Linked DNA regions of Kluyveromyces lactis. The main gene of each other region encodes a partner of the protein of the gene in region 7 in a complex. Links are inferred from orthologs where the notes say so. Each region holds a gene or a part of one and is shown on either strand. Other genes may lie near its edges. The genes, in order: MRPL23, MRPL24, MRPL22, MRPL39, MRPL13, RML2 and MRPL15.

The links.
Region 1: MRPL15 (region 7) and MRPL23 share a complex: the UniProt entries of both Saccharomyces cerevisiae proteins name them as parts of the mitochondrial large ribosomal subunit. The link is inferred for Kluyveromyces lactis from reciprocal best matches to the Saccharomyces cerevisiae genes MRPL15 and MRPL23.
Region 2: MRPL15 (region 7) and MRPL24 share a complex: the UniProt entries of both Saccharomyces cerevisiae proteins name them as parts of the mitochondrial large ribosomal subunit. The link is inferred for Kluyveromyces lactis from reciprocal best matches to the Saccharomyces cerevisiae genes MRPL15 and MRPL24.
Region 3: MRPL15 (region 7) and MRPL22 share a complex: the UniProt entries of both Saccharomyces cerevisiae proteins name them as parts of the mitochondrial large ribosomal subunit. The link is inferred for Kluyveromyces lactis from reciprocal best matches to the Saccharomyces cerevisiae genes MRPL15 and MRPL22.
Region 4: MRPL15 (region 7) and MRPL39 share a complex: the UniProt entries of both Saccharomyces cerevisiae proteins name them as parts of the mitochondrial large ribosomal subunit. The link is inferred for Kluyveromyces lactis from reciprocal best matches to the Saccharomyces cerevisiae genes MRPL15 and MRPL39.
Region 5: MRPL15 (region 7) and MRPL13 share a complex: the UniProt entries of both Saccharomyces cerevisiae proteins name them as parts of the mitochondrial large ribosomal subunit. The link is inferred for Kluyveromyces lactis from reciprocal best matches to the Saccharomyces cerevisiae genes MRPL15 and MRPL13.
Region 6: MRPL15 (region 7) and RML2 share a complex: the UniProt entries of both Saccharomyces cerevisiae proteins name them as parts of the mitochondrial large ribosomal subunit. The link is inferred for Kluyveromyces lactis from reciprocal best matches to the Saccharomyces cerevisiae genes MRPL15 and RML2.

Annotation. Positions count from the first base shown.
Region 1 is NC_006040.1:210,499-212,858, reverse strand, and holds MRPL23 (mitochondrial 54S ribosomal protein uL13m), read right to left. Parts: upstream 969-2,360; coding exon 501-968; downstream 1-500. Other genes in the region: CRN1 (coronin), read left to right, coding at 1-156; protein disulfide isomerase MPD1, read right to left, coding at 1,244-2,230. UniProt on the Saccharomyces cerevisiae protein: Component of the mitochondrial ribosome (mitoribosome), a dedicated translation machinery responsible for the synthesis of mitochondrial genome-encoded proteins, including at least some of the essential transmembrane subunits of the mitochondrial respiratory chain.
Region 2 is NC_006040.1:1,064,461-1,067,053, forward strand, and holds MRPL24 (mitochondrial 54S ribosomal protein bL28m), read right to left. Parts: upstream 1,269-2,593; coding exon 501-1,268; downstream 1-500. Other genes in the region: KLLA0_D12584g (uncharacterized protein), read right to left, coding at 1,572-2,593. UniProt on the Saccharomyces cerevisiae protein: Component of the mitochondrial ribosome (mitoribosome), a dedicated translation machinery responsible for the synthesis of mitochondrial genome-encoded proteins, including at least some of the essential transmembrane subunits of the mitochondrial respiratory chain.
Region 3 is NC_006040.1:702,031-704,854, reverse strand, and holds MRPL22 (mitochondrial 54S ribosomal protein uL22m), read right to left. Parts: upstream 1,401-2,824; coding exon 501-1,400; downstream 1-500. Other genes in the region: SHR3 (Shr3p), read left to right, coding at 1-258; TDA7 (Tda7p), read right to left, coding at 1,802-2,824. UniProt on the Saccharomyces cerevisiae protein: Component of the mitochondrial ribosome (mitoribosome), a dedicated translation machinery responsible for the synthesis of mitochondrial genome-encoded proteins, including at least some of the essential transmembrane subunits of the mitochondrial respiratory chain.
Region 4 is NC_006038.1:66,590-68,438, reverse strand, and holds MRPL39 (mitochondrial 54S ribosomal protein bL33m), read right to left. Parts: upstream 717-1,849; coding exon 501-716; downstream 1-500. Other genes in the region: transcription elongation factor SPT5, read left to right, coding at 1-197; TIF35 (translation initiation factor eIF3 core subunit g), read left to right, coding at 1,647-1,849. UniProt on the Saccharomyces cerevisiae protein: Component of the mitochondrial ribosome (mitoribosome), a dedicated translation machinery responsible for the synthesis of mitochondrial genome-encoded proteins, including at least some of the essential transmembrane subunits of the mitochondrial respiratory chain.
Region 5 is NC_006037.1:258,004-260,715, forward strand, and holds MRPL13 (mitochondrial 54S ribosomal protein mL50 MRPL13), read right to left. Parts: upstream 1,263-2,712; coding exon 501-1,262; downstream 1-500. Other genes in the region: KLLA0_A02893g (uncharacterized protein), read left to right, coding at 1-230; MEH1 (Meh1p), read left to right, coding at 1,862-2,293; RSC4 (Rsc4p), read left to right, coding at 2,624-2,712. UniProt on the Saccharomyces cerevisiae protein: Component of the mitochondrial ribosome (mitoribosome), a dedicated translation machinery responsible for the synthesis of mitochondrial genome-encoded proteins, including at least some of the essential transmembrane subunits of the mitochondrial respiratory chain.
Region 6 is NC_006037.1:183,120-185,964, forward strand, and holds RML2 (mitochondrial 54S ribosomal protein uL2m), read right to left. Parts: upstream 1,707-2,845; coding exon 501-1,706; downstream 1-500. Other genes in the region: KLLA0_A02013g (putative aminopeptidase), read left to right, coding at 1-328. UniProt on the Saccharomyces cerevisiae protein: Component of the mitochondrial ribosome (mitoribosome), a dedicated translation machinery responsible for the synthesis of mitochondrial genome-encoded proteins, including at least some of the essential transmembrane subunits of the mitochondrial respiratory chain.
Region 7 is NC_006039.1:1,528,070-1,530,533, forward strand, and holds MRPL15 (mitochondrial 54S ribosomal protein mL57), read right to left. Parts: upstream 1,227-2,464; coding exon 501-1,226; downstream 1-500. Other genes in the region: KLLA0_C17380g (uncharacterized protein), read left to right, coding at 1-6; RNA-dependent ATPase ROK1, read left to right, coding at 1,872-2,464. UniProt on the Saccharomyces cerevisiae protein: Component of the mitochondrial ribosome (mitoribosome), a dedicated translation machinery responsible for the synthesis of mitochondrial genome-encoded proteins, including at least some of the essential transmembrane subunits of the mitochondrial respiratory chain.

The DNA.
Region 1 (2,360 bases), on a different chromosome or scaffold from region 7:
TCTCTCAATTTGAGACAATCTGTAGAAACATTATCTGGATTAGTTCTAAAGTTGGAAAGCTATATTGATAAATTAACCGAGGAAAATACCCGCAAAGATGAAATTCTTGCTGCTTTGGAAGCAAAAGTAGATCGTCTTTTGGAGCAAGGGAAATAATATCAAATATGAAATACATCCTTCCCTAATTCTTCTCGTTTTTGTTCTGTTAAATGTTCTTTCTTCCAGGCAAAAGTATTATGCTTTGGCATACTGCGATGTAATATCTTTTCTATCTCTGTATGTGATTTGTATGTGATTTGTATGTGATAATTAACATATCTAAATAACAATCTATATGTACATAGTAAAGTGGAAGAGTTTAGTACAGTGAAAAACGACAGACATTGTATGCGTACTAAGGAGAACCATTTAGATCGAATAATAATATATACAGGGATTTTACATCACATGCTGCCGTTAACTTCTCAAAAATTAAGAAGTCACATAAAAATTCATCCACACTATTTCTTCTGGTGTTGCAGCTCTAGTTGCTGATCAGCAAATGCGGTGATATTACTCTTGTATGGATGTTCACTTCCATCGAAAATTTTTAATCTAGCAAGTCTGATCTTACGAAGTTTATTCTTGGGAAGCATTCCGGACACAGCCTTCTTCAAAACTTCACTGTAACCCTTGTTACTGATCATGTCTTCCATTGTAGTCAACTTTAATGAACCTGGTCTAGAAGTATGCGACCAGTACGTCTTTTGGGTCATCTTGTTCCCCGTCACACGCAAAGCTTGGCAGTTCGTTACCACAACATAATCACCGCAATCAGCAGATGGATGATACACTGGCTTGTGCTTCCCCATTAACGCTAGAGCAACCTGAGATGCCACCCTACCAAGCGTTCTCTTGTCCTTGGATATATCAACATGATGCCACATCCTGGCAAATGCCAAACCAGTATGTCCTACCTTTTGAGACATACTTCTAATATATTGTTATTTTGCCTCCTTTCTGACAGGTTAAAACGTGGCACCTAAAAAGTTAAATTTTAAGTGATGCTATTCAACTGTAATCACTTAGGTAAAGGGATAGTTCGGGACAGTCAGTTGTCTTTTAACTCATCATATGTTTAGCTTGACAATCGATTTGATTAATTGATGTTTAATTTCAGCTTGGAGCCAAATTTTTTTCAATCGCTCATATTACTGTTACCCGGATGTTAAACACAATCTATATACAAGCTACTAACAAATACCTACAACTCATCCTGAACTATGTCGTCCTTCGTAAGTTTAGTCTTCTGTTTGTTCTTTTTAGTCTTGGACTTCTTTGACTTTGATTTATTCAAAATAGATTTGAGGTATTCTTGTCTCTTACTGAGTGGACCTTCCCTTGGTTTTGACTCGAATTTCGAAAGGAACGTTGCAATGTCATTTTTATCTGTAGTTTTTAATATGTCTAGTTCGTCATAAGTATCTGTTTCTCTATCTATCACTACGATTCTGGGCGATTGTAATTCAGTTTCACTTTTTTCTAACGATTGGAGGTATTTAACAGTATTTGGCCAATTCTTTGTATCGTTCTCAAAACTCAATTGTGACACGCCTTGCAATTTCTCGTCCCAGATCGAATAGAAATCGTAGATCCCAAGCCAATCGAGGGCTACAGATTTATATAAAGTTGGAATCTTCTCCTTCTTTGAGATAAGCACTACAGCGTACCTGGTTCTTGAAGATTTTAATAGTTCTTCGAACTTACTGTAACGGTTCAACCGCTTCACGTAGTTTTTCACTCTAGATAAAGCGAAATCGACAATGGGCTTCAATTTCCTTTCTCCCTTGTACACTTCTGTGGCATGCTGTGACGCAGCACCATTGGAATTTTTCTTTGGGTTATCCAAATTGATCTTTGGAGGCCTGAATACCATTAACGTTGGGAACCCCGATACTCTGTTCTGTGCACATAATTGTTTATTCACACTTTCATCACAGTTCACTCCAGCAACTTGTACCATTCCAGAGAGGATTTTACCGGCAGATTTCATGGAACCTTTCAATTCCTGACAGTAACCACACCACGGAGCATAAAACATGACCAAAGTGGTGTAATTGGTCCTATGAATGACTTTATCGAAGTTAGAAGGTGTCAATTCCATGATATTCTCATCACGGTCGTAGAAATTGGCTCCGAACGCCAGTTCGACCAACAAAAACAATGCATATAGAAGACGTGTGTACATCATAGTCTGGAGGACTTTAGAAAATGTTCAACGATGGAAGTTAACAAGGTGGTTTACTCTCTTCTCTTTTTGTCAATTTCGAGTGATGTTGAATTTCTTGGCAGCAGTGGACCCAAAGATTTGATTTTGAAAT
Region 2 (2,593 bases), on a different chromosome or scaffold from region 7:
GATGATTACCCGGAGGAGTGTTTGGGAGGGTATGGGAAGTGAATGGAAACCATGAGATGCCTAGCCTGGGGTCTAAGTGGGCAGTCCAGCGGCCAGTTTGGTGGAATGTCCAGGCCCAGACCGGGCAGTCCAGCTTAGGGAGGAAACGGGACAGGCCCTGCCCAGCTCGAAGCAAGCAACGAAGACGGATGGGATGTGTCTGTGCATCCTACCGTCAGCTCAGCGGATTTGGTGGACATGAGAAAATAATTTCCTAGTATGGAAACATTCTCATTTTCAGCAGAAATTGAGTATGTATGGGTGCAACAGTCAATAATGTCTGGGTGCAACAGTCACATGCACACCGTTCAATTCAATTGAACAGTGGGTGATTAACTCTTGCATCGGTCAGTCGGACAACTAACGCATAGTCTTCAAGCATCCTCCCAGCTCATGGTAGAATCTATTTTCTCATTGTTTACAAGCTTTTATATAAAATTGGAACAAAATCTATTCAGTTCTCATACAGTAATCGTACTCAAATCGAAATTCAAGGCCTTTAATCTCGATACGATGTCTGCCACGTCACGGGTAGCAAATTGGTCCATGAATTTCTTAAACGATAGATCTAATCCATCCGCTTTGTGTTCCATCTTTTCCAATGGGAAAAGGGTATGCAATAGTTTACGCTTACCAGCAGTAATTCTCAATGGTTCTCCATCGACAACAACTTTGTACAATACGGTGACTTCGTTGCCATTGGCATCTGTGACAGTCTCAGCGTCCTTATGTACAGGATTGGCAGCTTTTTCCTTAGAGTTCAGTAGTCTGTAACGGAGTTTCCAACCAGTAGGTCCCAATTCCTTAATTCTGGCGGCCTTTTCCTTAGTCAAATAGTTGTCAATACCACCTTCCTTGGTAATTGTTCTTAAAACTTTTGCTGTCATCTTAATACTAATCTTTCTGTTCAAAGTCTCACTCCATAGTCCTTTTCTAATAACGTTTGGACTCCATGATCTCCTGGTTTTTGTCTTCGATTCAGCGATGTTATTACCGAATTGGATGAAAGACGCACCGTATAAACCTTTGTTACTCTGTTTGTAAATTGGAGATTCTCCGTATGGATAATCAGGGAATTCCTTCTTCTCCTTTGGGATATATAATGGCTTGCTGTCGCCGACTTGATACGTCTTTGGAGTTGGGATCTGTCTGCTTTCAACTAATCTCCATTCTCTGAGGAGGTGGCTAAGAGTGGAAAACCCTCTTTGGGAACTTGGAAAAAACTTCATTCCAGATGAACGATCTCCGTGCTTATTGGTGAACGTACAGAGACTCTTAGACCAACTAGCTTCATACTAGGTTCAAGCTCCTTCTCTTCACCTTAGTGCATGTATCAAGTCGTTATTTTCTAAAATTTTGAATAAGCTTTGGAAAGATCAAAACCGTATACAGCGAGAATGGTAAAGCATAAGGAAATTTATGATTAGAATACACCTCTGCGTAATGGTTGGCGGTATCATGTATGTATGAAGGGTATGTATATATGTACGGCTGGATGGATATTGTGAATGAGGTCCCTGTTGCAATTTTTCTCATTTCTTCCATGGTGATTTGAAAGCCCAATTCCCGAGACGATTTCCCTTTGGATTGGTGGCATCTTTGGTCCAAGTCTTACCTGTGCGTAATTCATAGTTCTCTTTTTCTAATTCGTCAAGGCGTGTTCTGAGCTCTTGATTTTCGTCCATAACTTCCAGATTTCTTTCCATTGTTCTATTCAAATCTGCTTTCAAATCTGTGGGAATTTCAGCATCTGGATTAGGTAACGTTTGTTTATAAAGTTCACGTTCCAGTTGTTTCTTCAAATCTTCTATCTCTAGTAATAAATCCTTATTTTCGTCCTGAAGAGTTTCCATCCGAAGTCTGTTTTCAATTAGTTCATTGGCAATAGTGATATGCTCTCTGTTTAATAGCGAATAGTCATTTTCTAATTTCTTCAACTCTTTTTGAAGCTGTCTGTTTTTAATTCTTTGTTCCTCATATTGTTGTTCCTTTTCCGTTTCCAACTTGTGAATCTCATCGTACTCTTTCACGTAACGCTCCAATTGCAATGGAGTTAATTTGATTTCCAACGAATCAGAGATGAATCTATCAATATCGTACTCTTCTGGGTTCTCCTTAGAAGCATAGTGTTGGAAAAGGTCCTCCTTCAAGAAGTCTAAGAGAGAATCGAAACTGAGAATGATCAAATTACGACTGTTCTTTAACATCAACGTTAAACTGAATTTTAGCATCGATTCGATACCTTCAAGTATGACAATATCCATGATTCTGAGAACGAATTCAAGGGGAAATTTGTATGCGAACATCGTCAGGAACCATTGAGTTGCAAACATTGTAGATCTTATTCCCTGCCTGATCAAATGGTTATACAATTGAGGATCATTTTCCTCCAAAAGTGTATCAAATTGGTACAATTTCAACATCAGGCCAGGCATTCCCGGCAAGAATAAATCCCTTAATCCGTATACTTTCATGAGTTTCGTTAATAGAGAAAACGCTTGCCATTCTTCTTCACAGTTCAATATTAAAGTAGTAGCAATAAAACCCATGCCCT
Region 3 (2,824 bases), on a different chromosome or scaffold from region 7:
GAATCTGCGGTTTACCATAACTGGGGTGAAGTCTCTGAGGCGCAAGGTATTGCTGTTGTTGCCTCTTCCAATATCATTATTTTAATTGTCTTTGCTGGTGTCTTAGTGTTGCAAGGAGGTTTGTGGTACAGTACCTGGGAATATGAACAAAGATTAGATCAATGGAGGAAAGACCAATTGAAGGAATCTGCCGCTAACCAACAGAAGGCGGAGAAAACTACTGAACCAGCTAAAACGGAATCTAAGAAGAAGAAATAGACGAAATTTGTTTCCTTACAGTTTGATGCGGTGAAGTATTTCGCGTTGCTTTCACTATTTACAAGCTCTTGTTCTATATATTATATAAATGATATGAAATACTTGGCTATTCCGACATGGATAACTTGAGATGAAACCCAAAGACAATCTAAGGACCTTATTATTGATGATTTAATTGCTGTATATTATCTTCACCCATTATCATTGGAAATAAACGTAATATGATAATGTTTAATATCTCATTACCATTTGTAAACACCACCCATAGAACCTCTGATGGGTTTATCTGCTAATTGAACCCACGGTTTCTTCCTTTGTTCTTTTAGTTTGGCTTCGTGCTCTAGTCTTCTCTTCGTTACACTCTTGGTCTTCAATATGCATTTGATATGCACATATGGGTGTTCAATGAGACCACGTCTACCTCTACCCTTCCATTCGACACGTTTTTGCCAAAATCCATCACTGCCGGTCCATATCTGGGAGATGTATAGGTCATTGGCATCCAAGCCAAGCTTCACACCATCATTAATACCGCGCTCCAATAATTCGGCAACATCACGGGCAACCTTTTTATCGGAGAAATGACATTGAGTCAAAGCTTTCTTAGCGTCCAATCCGTTCAAAAGTCTAAGCAGCTGTGTGGCCTTCTTCATAGATGATTTTACTCTGTAAGATTTAACATAGACACTAGGTTCAAGCACTTCTAATTCTTCATTCGTTAATCTCAAAGAACGATCTTTAGGGCGCACGCTTTTGTCGTAAAACCCACCGTTCAACCTAACCTGTTGTTCATAGAATTCCTTCTTAACTCTTGGTAACAAAAATTCTGGTAAACTTTTGATCATGGGGTCTTGTTCTTCGATATATTTCTGTAATTGTGTATCATTGGCTGCTGTAACTTTCTTTTTAGCCTCTGCCAGCTGGGTAGCAGCATCCAAATCATCTGACAGTTCGGTAGCAGTAGTCAACTTATTAGATAGTTTATTTGGATCGTCATCCTTCAACGGATTCACTCCATCGGTGACTTCACCGAATAGCGAACCTTGTGCAGATTTTTGTAGCTGCAATGCTGAAGCTTGAAAACTTCTTACACCGGAAGCCTTTCCCAAGCCGAACAGGCTAGTTACTGTCCTCGATAGCATTAAATTTTATATAGGTTGAACTGATGACAGAGCCTGCAACTAACCATGTAATTTACACGTGCCTCTAGTATTATACTGTAGGCATTTTATTACTTTGATCAATCCTTCTTCTGTACAATGTTTGATTATCAAAATTTTTTTGTTCGATGGTTAGGAAATATAAATCATCGTGAACGGGCATGAAGATATAAGGAATGGTTCTACTGTGTGGAGGAAGATATTGAAGTCCGACTATCTTGACGGGTTGTAAGATCACAAATTAGAAAAGCGTTAGTGTGGAATTGCTAGGAATTAAACCTTAAATATGAACTATATAACTGAAGATGCACAAAGAAGTATATTGAATAGAAGGGAAAATTTAAGTACAAATTTGAAAACTTTGTAATTAGAGTTTGGTAAGATCAGTGTTCGATTAGTTCCGTTAAATATCCGTGAGCGTTCTGTGGGTTTTCATCGTAAGTAACTGACATTTCAGTGTCATGTGTACCCTCATCGGTGGAAGATGACACAAAGGATGAATGTAGTGATGTTGTGGAAGGCGTCTGAGACTCTGGATCTGCAATCGATACAACATATTCGTCGTCGAATGGATTTGTCGTCTGTGGCCTCCTGACAGAATCTGCAACATATGGAGGCACTGAGGGCAAACTTTTTGAAACTTTGTTATTATTATGAGCAGTCGTCGATACTCTGGTTGTAGTCTTGGTGGTTTGCTGAGACTGTGCAATAAACGTTCCGATATCGTCGTATCCCATTTTTCTCCCAATGTCGTGGGAGAAGCTCTTTTCGTGTTCGATAAGATTTCTCCTTCGTCTCTTCCTAAATAATAAATAGATCACCAGTATCATTAGCGCCAGACCTCCCACGCTTCCTATTACACCACCGATTATTGTATCTTTATTTGATCCAGACGATGTTGAGTTGGAATCCAATGCGCCAGATAGCCATCTTTCGTAAAAAGATGTGTCAGTCACAACTGGACCTGTAGGTGTAGTGAAAGTAGCCTCTGTGGGTATCACTGTAAGTGTCGGTAGTCCTTTAGTAAAGGTGGTTGAAGTGTCAGTAAAGATGAAATCTCGTGTGTAATAAACCACAGTTTCAGAAGACGGTACTTCAGTGGTCAACGTTAACCAAGTCGGTGTAGGCACAGTGGCAGTAGCTTCTGTACCCTCAACAGATGTGTATTCTTGGGTCGCGGTGTTCTCGGGATAAATTGTTTGCATTACTATGTTGCTCGGTCCTGAGCTCATCTCAAGTACCGTCACCATTGCCGTGTCTACATCTGTATGCGACGTTGAATCATCTGTTGACGGCGGTACCCAAACTGTAGATGGCGATACTATGCCAGGTGAATCCGAATCCGAATGTGATCTGTTTGGATATACCAGAACCGTCCTGGTCTTCATACCATGTGGCTGCTGCGT
Region 4 (1,849 bases), on a different chromosome or scaffold from region 7:
GTGGCAGTGGTAATAAATCACAACGATCTAAAAACACCGGTGGAAGTTCCACTTGGGGTAACAATCAATCGCAGCATAACTCAGGAGAGAGATCCGCATGGGGCAATGCATCCCAACACAACAATAGCGGCAATAGATCTGCTTGGGGTAATCAGGATGCTAGAGGTGGTGGAAGTACGTGGGGTGGAAATAATTAGAAATAATCATACAAGTTATTGCCTCACGATAATTTACAAACCTATCAATTGTTCATCTTATTATCTCCAAATTACTCCACGCGATGTGGATGTTGTATATATAGTCTTGCCCAAATTAGTCTCAGAAACCAATTAAATAAGTGAATTAAGTAAATGTAATTTAGTTAAAAATTTCGTTTCTTTACTACAAACCGATACTACTATAGAACTCTTAAATCACGTCTATTTCAACGGTAGTTATTGCAGTGTGAGTGTTTTCTATATACATGCAAATGGTGTGGTTAAATTGTTAAATACAATTCATTAACGTCTTGCGGTACGTAAGAAGTCCAATGGTTTCCTCTCTGCAACCTTTCTTTTCTTGGCCTCTTTGAACAAAACATGACGTTTAGCTACAGGGTCGTACCTCACCTGCGTCACTAATGGTGCAGCTCTATTTATCGTGACATGACGGCTCACACCTGTCATAGCAGTTGATATCAGTTTGATAACTGTAGTCTTTGTCTTAGCCTTGGCCATCGTTTTCCTGTTCGTTTGCAGTTTATATATGATATCCTTAGCTCTGTGAAATTCCTTGAATTTGAATTTGAGACAGAGAAGTACGCAGGATAATATTACTTTCTGCCCTTAATACTTTCCGATGATACACCGTCCTATGCAGAAATTGATGAACTCCCACTACTTTCAGTATTGATTGGGTCGGATACATTGCTAAAGAAGAAGTAATGGATAATCAAAATTTTGTCAAATCACTACATACGTTTTGATGAATATGCAATATACATAAAAATGATCCGTACTTCATATCACGTGAAACAGATACATATTCACAAGTCAAGTTAAGTATTCGCATATAGTTACTCTACGCTTTTATCAACAAGAAGGTATTAACTGAATTGATTGGTGTACACAGTACGGTATAATTAAGGTAACTAATTAGTGCTGGAGCTTACGGATCTCTGTTACACCCGTGCAACACGATATACATTACTGATGAAAATTTTGAAAATTTTCCAAAGCTCATCGCATAGAGACAGAGGCAAAATCAGCGAAAGAGAAGAGAAAAAAATGGAAATTCAAATGAGTTCTAAGTTACCTGCTAAAATAAACGTAATGGTAAGGTGACCCTAGAAGGTGCATAGGGTTTCATCCAGCTGTTTGATAGAAGAAAGGAGTATACTGCGCCAAGTGTATCCGATTTACGTGTTTCAATAAAGAACTGAAACAAAAATTTGAGACTATCATCTGTGCGAAGTTTTTTTCTTCAAAGAGAATTAATTGATATCGATCAGATTATCTACAGACCCATAACTTGAAAGGAGGATATTTGACATACCTCAAATCAGAATTGGGCTTCTTAATTGTTGATAGTATAACACGCGTCTAGAAATTAAAGGAATTTTTTCTACAATCCTATTTTTTTAAGGAGATAATACAAAGATTCACAACATGTCAGCTATTCCTGAACCAAGAATCATCGAGAATGACGATGGTTCCAAAACCGTCATCAGTTTCAAAATCCAAGATGGTAAGAAGTACAAGGTTACGCAGAAGGTTAAGGAAATTACTGTCACCGAGAAAGTTAACAAGAACATCGCCTTGAGAAGAAATTGGAAGAAATATGGTGCTGATAAGGGAGCTGCCCCAGGACC
Region 5 (2,712 bases), on a different chromosome or scaffold from region 7:
ACATGAATCTAGATAAGATTGATTTATTGGTTCATTATAGATATGAGACTGTACCACAAGATGCTGTGAATAGATTAATCCAAAATAGGTTCAAAAAAAATGTGCCTTCTCATCCCAAACCATCTAACCAATTAATTCCTGGAATTCCCAATGAAACCCTTCTTCCAGCAGTAATTGTTGCTCTCGGTGCGTCAATTGCCGTGATATTTTCGTTATCGAGAAAACACTAGGTATACAATCAATGCCACGCTCTTTTCAAACCTTATATAAAAGTATATATATATTCACATACAATAATTTTTTTTTGGTGATTGATCTCTCATACTAATGGTTATAGTAACATTATGTATAAGTATTTATATTATGTACAGGATTTAGATTGAAGGAAAAGTCAAATCAAAGATCTGAAAAGCGGCCGACTGGCCTAGTTCAAATGCATTGGAAAAAAAGATATGCGATAGTAAATATAAACAACCCAGAAGAGAGATTGTTTTCGGAGTTTAATCCCTTTTAGCTTTCTCAATAGCGTCTCTTTCATATTGAGCTTCCAATGCGGCGACCTCTTCCAAGATTTTCTTCACCTTCTGTTTTTTCACAGATGGTTTGACATCGGGAACCACGTACACGTTTGGTGGGAATTTGATATTCGATAAATCAATGGCGTTTGGTTCCGATTCCTTAAATTTCCCTAGTTGACCACTTAGTACTTTAATCTCAAACCACGATTTAAATTCCAATGGAGTTTGTAACCTTGTAAGTTCGTAGTCTGGGATAATGTGTCCTGATTTGCATTGTAGCAGTTTACTGAATTTGAACTTGTTTACCAAATTTTCGAAAGGTTTCCCCAGTTGTTCTTCCGTTGGGACATCACCGAAAGTTTCCTGATAACTTTCCAAAACAACCTGTTCCAACTGTTGTTCGGTACTTAATTTATCCTGAGATAACCACTCGTTGAATGGGACGACATCCAACTTTTGTAAACGAATAAGTTCTTCTCTTCTAGATGAATCGATACCAACAAAATCATCATCTGTTAACTCTAATCTTGTGACCGTTGAGCTCTTCACTACAGTTGTTTTCCCGGACTCGATCTCATTTATAACTTCTTTTGTATCTCTTTGCAATTCTGGCTGTGTTGAAACGACACCAGCATCTTTGTTTTTATTTCTTCTGAACCATGACAAGAAATCAGAGCGCACTGCACTTGAAGTGAATTGTCTTGATGAACGCACTACTGGCACGTACCTAGACGCTAGCATCATTATTCTTTTTTGTTTTCGATTGAAAAATATGCACAGTACCACGCTTTAATGAACTGATATCAACCGCCAAATCAGACAACACTAGAAGATACTTCTGTGCTTAAGCTCATCAAGAACTTGACCGTTCAATTAATGTTCTAATATACAATATCTTCATCAAATTGTAAGTTTATAGTTTTTAGATGAAATTTTTCAATTTTTCAATTGGGCATAGAAAGAATGTAGTCCATATGGGAAGGTTCTAAAGAGAGAAAGAAACAGGATCTGAAGCGATAGATAGTTGCATCATAGTGGTCTTTAACAACGGGTCGAGTTAAGTGCGTACTTCCTGGTTTGCATGATGTTCACTGTATTCAGTAACTAAAAGCTGCTTATCTATGTAGCCCGATAGATAAAGAAGACGGGGTTACCCTATTCAAAACACCCACAACCCACATACTAGAATATGAAATTTATGCTTCCCAGTGCTTTTTATCAACATCTATAGTAAGTGTAGTTCCTTTACCTTAAAGCCACCAAGGCAATGAGATAGTTTACGTTTACTAACGAATTCTAGCATCAGTAGCTACCGAAAATCTGCCTAAAACATTTAAAATATTATGGGAAATGTGCTAAGTTGCTGCTTTCGTCAAGATAGCGACGAAAATGACCCGTTATTGCAGGAACAGGACAGGTACGGCTCACAAGCCCAATTAGATTATAACGAAATGGAACAACGACAGAAGGAAAGAGTGCTTGCAAGAGAACTTGAATTGACCGAAATCGTGAATAATACGAACGATAAGCTTATAGATATAGGTATGATCAGCAACAGCGGTATCGTAGCATCCTCACACGATTTAGGTTCGAGCTATGTGCAAGATCAAAGAGAAATTTTACATGACGTACCCTTAACGGTACTTCCCAGTTCGAAAATAAAACAGGACACAAGGAAGGCGATTCAAGAATTTCACAAAAAGTACTTCGCTAACCTAGTGAAAAACCTTACCGTGGAATATAACAAGCCATTGGTCGCCAATATCGAATCGTGACGCAATAGGTTTCTGCACTATTAGCGCACTCAAAATGGGTTCACCAAATGTTGAAATGCGATATATCACTATATACGTCTGAACATTTCTCAATCTTGTAAAGGTACTTTCACTCTCTTTATTGAAAACATTGAAATATACAAACTTTGTAGAATAGACATATAAAACAATACGCAGTATACGATTTTGGTTTGTCAAAGGAGCCAATTAGGTACGGTTAGAGTAAGTGCCTTGACTGCTGCATATATACTGAAATTTGTTCATTTAAGAAGCCAAGGAAGCGAGGAGGCAAAAAAAAAAGCATAAACAAACTGGAAAGCGCCAAATACTATGGCTGTGAAAAGAAGCAGATCAGAAGATCCCAGTGAGGAACCCGAACAAAAGCATTCAAAACAGAATTATGTACCAAGATATACACC
Region 6 (2,845 bases), on a different chromosome or scaffold from region 7:
TGAGCATGTTGGTGTCATTACTGATTATACCACGCCAGGTCTAACTGAATTTATTAAGTTGATTATAAGAAGATTCTTGGATATTCCTTACGTGGAAACGGAATGTGGATATGCATGTAGTGATCACGGAAGTGCAACGAAGAATGGATTCCCCGCTTCCTTTGTCATTGAAAGTGAGTTCAACAAATCTAACAAATACATTCACAGTACGATGGACACTTTAGACAGACTTTCATTTGATCACATGGCCCAGCATGTAAGGTTAGTCGTTGGTTCCTTATTCGAACTTGGGAACTGGGAATTTAAGCTGGAAGAAGAGACCAAATGATGCTCTGGATGTAGTAATCTAAACTTTGTTTAAAATAGAGTTGGTAACTGAACAGATGTTATGTTATTTCTTTAAATTAACTAGTTCTACGATATTTACAGGATGGAAGTCATTGAAATAAGTTTACAAAAACTGATGATATTTAAGATAGGATCAGTTGTGGGGAAGCTTATCATTGTCTAGCCTTTCTACCAGCCTTACCTCTTGGTCTATCTTTAACCTTCATTTTGTTTTGATGCTTACCCCTTCTTGTCTTGTAACCCTTGGCCAATTGACCCCATGGAGACATGGACAACTTTTTGGACTTAGATTTACCTCTACCACCACCGTGAGGATGGTCACATTTGTTCATTGCCACACCTCTGACAGTTGGTCTTATACCCAACCATCTAGATCTACCAGCTTTACCTAGAGAACGGTTTTGATGGTCAATATTTGAGACAACACCCATGGTAGCTGCAGCTTCCAATGATACGTAACGGTGCTCACCACTTTGTAGACGGACAACAGCTTTATTCTTTTCTGGGATCTTGGATAAGATACGTGCGTAAGAACCAGCAGCACGACAGAACTTACCTGGACCTGTAGGAGTGATACCAATATTATGAACGATGGATCCGATTGGGATCATAGAGATTGGTAGACAGTTACCTCTTTGAGCTGTTCTAACAGATAAGATGGCAGGATCGATCTTCCCACCCATTTCTTTCAAAAATGATGGTGGAATACCTTTTCTGTATGATTCGATGGTATCCCCAGCTCTTAGCCCATCACATGCTAAAATGTAGCTTAGGGCACCAGTATCGTTATGTTTTATCAATGCAATATGTGCACTTCTACCAGGATCGTATTCGATTCTTTCCACAGTTTGCATACCAGATTCGAAACGACTGAAATCGACTGTTCTCAATCTTCTTTTATGACCACCACCACGATGTCTCACCGTGATCTTACCACTATGGTTTCTACCACCATTTCCTCTCTTGGCAAGAGTCAAAGATTTAACAGGTCTTCCCTTATGCAAATATGGATAAATTGGCGCACGGTACCATCTCAAACCTGGAGAAACCGGTTTCAATTTCTTCATTTGTGTAACTTCCTTAGCCAACTTTCTTCTTCTTCTTAACAATTCGTCTTGCTTCTCTAGTGCTACCACATCTGTGTTATTAGGAACGATTTTCAACATATGGACATTGACATCGTCAACTGAAGATTGTTCTTCATTCCCGGTTGGAGTGATGCTGGCCATAGATCTGATTCCACCAAGTGAAGTATTGTTCAAAGACATTATCATCGAAACATTCCACGGAACTTGAACTCTTGAGGAGACGCCGCTGGCAAGCGGCGTCAGGCATCTCAAGTTGAATTGCTTGAACATGATATTATATCCAGAGCACCTAACGAGATTCTTAGGGTAAACCGTCTAATACCAATATCTCCGCTTTGCTACTGCCCTTCACAGAAATAATAAAATAACTCTGATCTTAATAAGATTTGTTATAGATATATCCACCCTTATATATATCAATATCCATAGTTTAAAATGTTTAAGTCATTGCAATTACATTGTTCATTTTTGTTAATATCAAAATCTTTCAAGCGATCTCTAATTTCAAACAGCTTCAATACCATCAGAGGAATATCGTCAAATGGAATTTTTTGCAAGAAGTATCACTATGAACGTATTCTGAATTTACCCGGATTATATAATATTTGGTCACGTGATTCAGGAAATCTTTGTGTACTTATTTTGTGCCCTAATGGCAGACCAGTCTCTCATGGTTAGATTGACTATTCTTTCTGTTTTATGGTTTTTAGTTTAAATAACTGGAAAAGTGAAAAATTTTGAGGTAAGTTTCTATCTCATCACGAATACTTTATTATCCGTTACAAAGCTTTTAATTAGAGTTAGAGACATAACCAACAAGGATTCGATTTGTAGTGTATCAGGAACAGGAGTTCCTGTTCGCAACGTATTCTGTCTTTTTTACTGAACTCAAACGGAAATCAAATTCCTCTTCATGTCGGGAAATGAACAAGTAAAAGGAACGACGAAGATAATGACTGTCTGTATGGAAATACCATCATTTGGATTGTTTTTTTTTTGAGTATATCGATTATGATGACCGCTGTCGCCCCAAACGGATTTCGAAAATATGAACGATTCGACTAGCATTAGCCAAACACTGAAAATTCTGATCAATCGATTACTTTATTAAAATAAACTGTCCAGGCAATACAGTACAAGTTATATCTTCTTGTTTGTTTGACTTTCTTCATTTCCGGATATATTCGGGTAGTCGAAGTGTACGTTAGATGTGTCAGTGGATTACTCGGCATTCTCTATCTTAAATATATAGACCTATTAATGATGAACTAAAAGTTTCCATGCTAATCATGAATAAAATTCAAAATTTTAAAGGATTAGAAACACGCTTTTTGTTATCTCTAACAGTCCTGAATACGTTTATATATAGCATTAGCTGTTCCATTCTTGTACTTGTAACTTGTGCTTTT
Region 7 (2,464 bases):
AAGTAAATTACCAGCAAAAAACATCCCTTCTATGAAGTTATATATGTATTTATATACATGTATTGTATTATGTACTTTTCTTAATCTGTTTTTATTTTGTATGTTAACATTTAATTAATGATAGATTTAGTTGTAAATTTATGTACGTCTATATTTCTAGAGATACATGAGATATATACAGTGCGCGCGTTTCTTTCGAGGTTCATTTTTAATTGAAGTGTGACGATGGAGTGTCGTTAAAAGGTTATGCTTTTCATGCTTTTGGTAAATTCATTATAATAAAACGTTGAAATTGAGCAGGGATGAAAGAGTAGATTAAAACACCACATTGACCAAGAGCTGTGATTGAAACTTCCGTTTCGAAATATATATATACAAGTTTTGAAAGCTCTTTCCCAACTCCGATGGAGACCATTCACTCGAGTGCTTTTTATTGATGTCGAAGTCTATTGTGTATTCCATTTCTCTTTCTTTCCTGTCGTGTAAAATTAGACATAATATTATAACTTCTCGGTCGTATCCCTGTTTGCTAACAAACTTTCAGATATCTTCGTTAGGGAATCACTATTGTCGCTGAATAGTTCATGCAACACGTATTCGGTGGCCTTGTCTTGACCGTGCAATAGATAGACACTGCCGACCACAGAATTTAGCACAGTTTGTAGCACGGTATACTCACCGTTATATTTGTGACTTTTTTGAGTGTCTCGTTTGTTCCAAAACACTAATTTATCTAGGTTTCTCCTTTGCAAAAATTCAGCCGTACTCTGTTTGGATATTAACATTTTAGAACTTCCCTTCCCAAGCATACCGAAATTTAGTCCGTTAATAACAGGTTCAGACTGTACGCTTTGTGATAGTTGCCTTTCAGAAACAGGTAGACCCAAGGAATGAAGACAAGCTTGATATTTCACAAAATGACCACCGATAATAGACAATTTCTGATTGTATGGTTTAATACCTTGGGCAAACGACTTGTGAGTCAAACATTGTGTAATGATGTCGTCTGGCAAGTCAATACCATATTTTTCCAAATTCAAACCTTGCTTAACAGTAGATACATGGCCATCCTTGACAAGAGAATCATAGTGCAAACCGTGTGGATTCTTCAAAGACTCAACTGGGTCTCTTTTCAAACCACGTACCCTAGTCCCAACGTGTAGATAAGAACCATTACGCACGCCGAATTTTGTGCTTAAGTTAAGACCAATTTTGGTTAAGGACATTATTCCAGAAGTAAAAAAATACTGTCTGAATGGTTTCTGTCTGGTATTTTCACAATTCAATCTTCCTCGACCGAATATCAACAGATTGTAATTACACAGGACACAAATATTAGAATTATTGAATCTTAATTCTAACAGTTTAGTCCTTTTAACTACGATTCAAACTGTTTCTTTGTAGTTTTTCGACTCGAGGCAGCGATCCAAATTTTGAAATTTTTCAAAATTTTTCAGATCACTCCAAACGAGGTCATCGCTGTGTCTAAGTGCTATCTTGTATGATGGGAATACATGCAATATCAAGGCATTAGGTACTGTTATCAAGGGAATATGGTCATTATGGGCTGGTATTATGAGGGCTTAATACCAGCTGTATCTTAAAGTAAGCTTTGCTGCATCTTTATGCCTTGAGAAGTACTTTTATATCGATTTTTACACTTATTGTACCCTAAGTTTTGTGAAAAGAAACGCTTCAGTAAGATCAATTTTAATTGAAAAAACTGCAATTAGATGTAGGCGATGAGATGAGATGAGATGAGATGAGAGAGTAGTAAGAGATTGATTATATCACTCACAGTGGTTTACTATCGAATTTATTCTCATTACTAAGTAACTTCTCACAGGCCAATACTAGCACCGCTAATTAACATGGATATCTTTAGAGTCTTGACTCGTGGAGCTAGCATAAGGAAGAATGGTGATTCTAATAGAACACAGTCTGCAGACTTTAGCATGGCTAATGAAAAGAAGAGTAAGACAGCTGGCAGCTCAAGTACACCAGCTAGAGATGAACAACAATTGACTAAGGAGTTGGATTTTTTCCGTAATAAGAAAATCATGAATAAGGTAAAGTCTGAGTCAACCAAAGGTGAAGGTGAAGACGAAGTACAAGAAGATAATCAAGAAGAAGACGAAGATCATGCTGATGACGAGACTGAGTTATCCGGGAAAATTATCACGAAACAAGATGCGTTAAAGTTACGTAAATCTTATCAAGGGAATGTTTCAGGGAATAGTGTTCCTTTGCCCATCGGTTCTTTTGAAGACTTGATCACAAGGTTCCAATTCGATAAGAGATTGTTAAACAACCTCATAGAAAATAACTTCACTGAACCAACTCCGATTCAAAGTGAATCTATACCGATTTTGTTGCATGAACGTGACATGATCGCTTGTGCTCCCACAGGTTCTGGTAAAACGTTGGCATTTTTGATCCCACTACTGCAACAGATAATCAACGA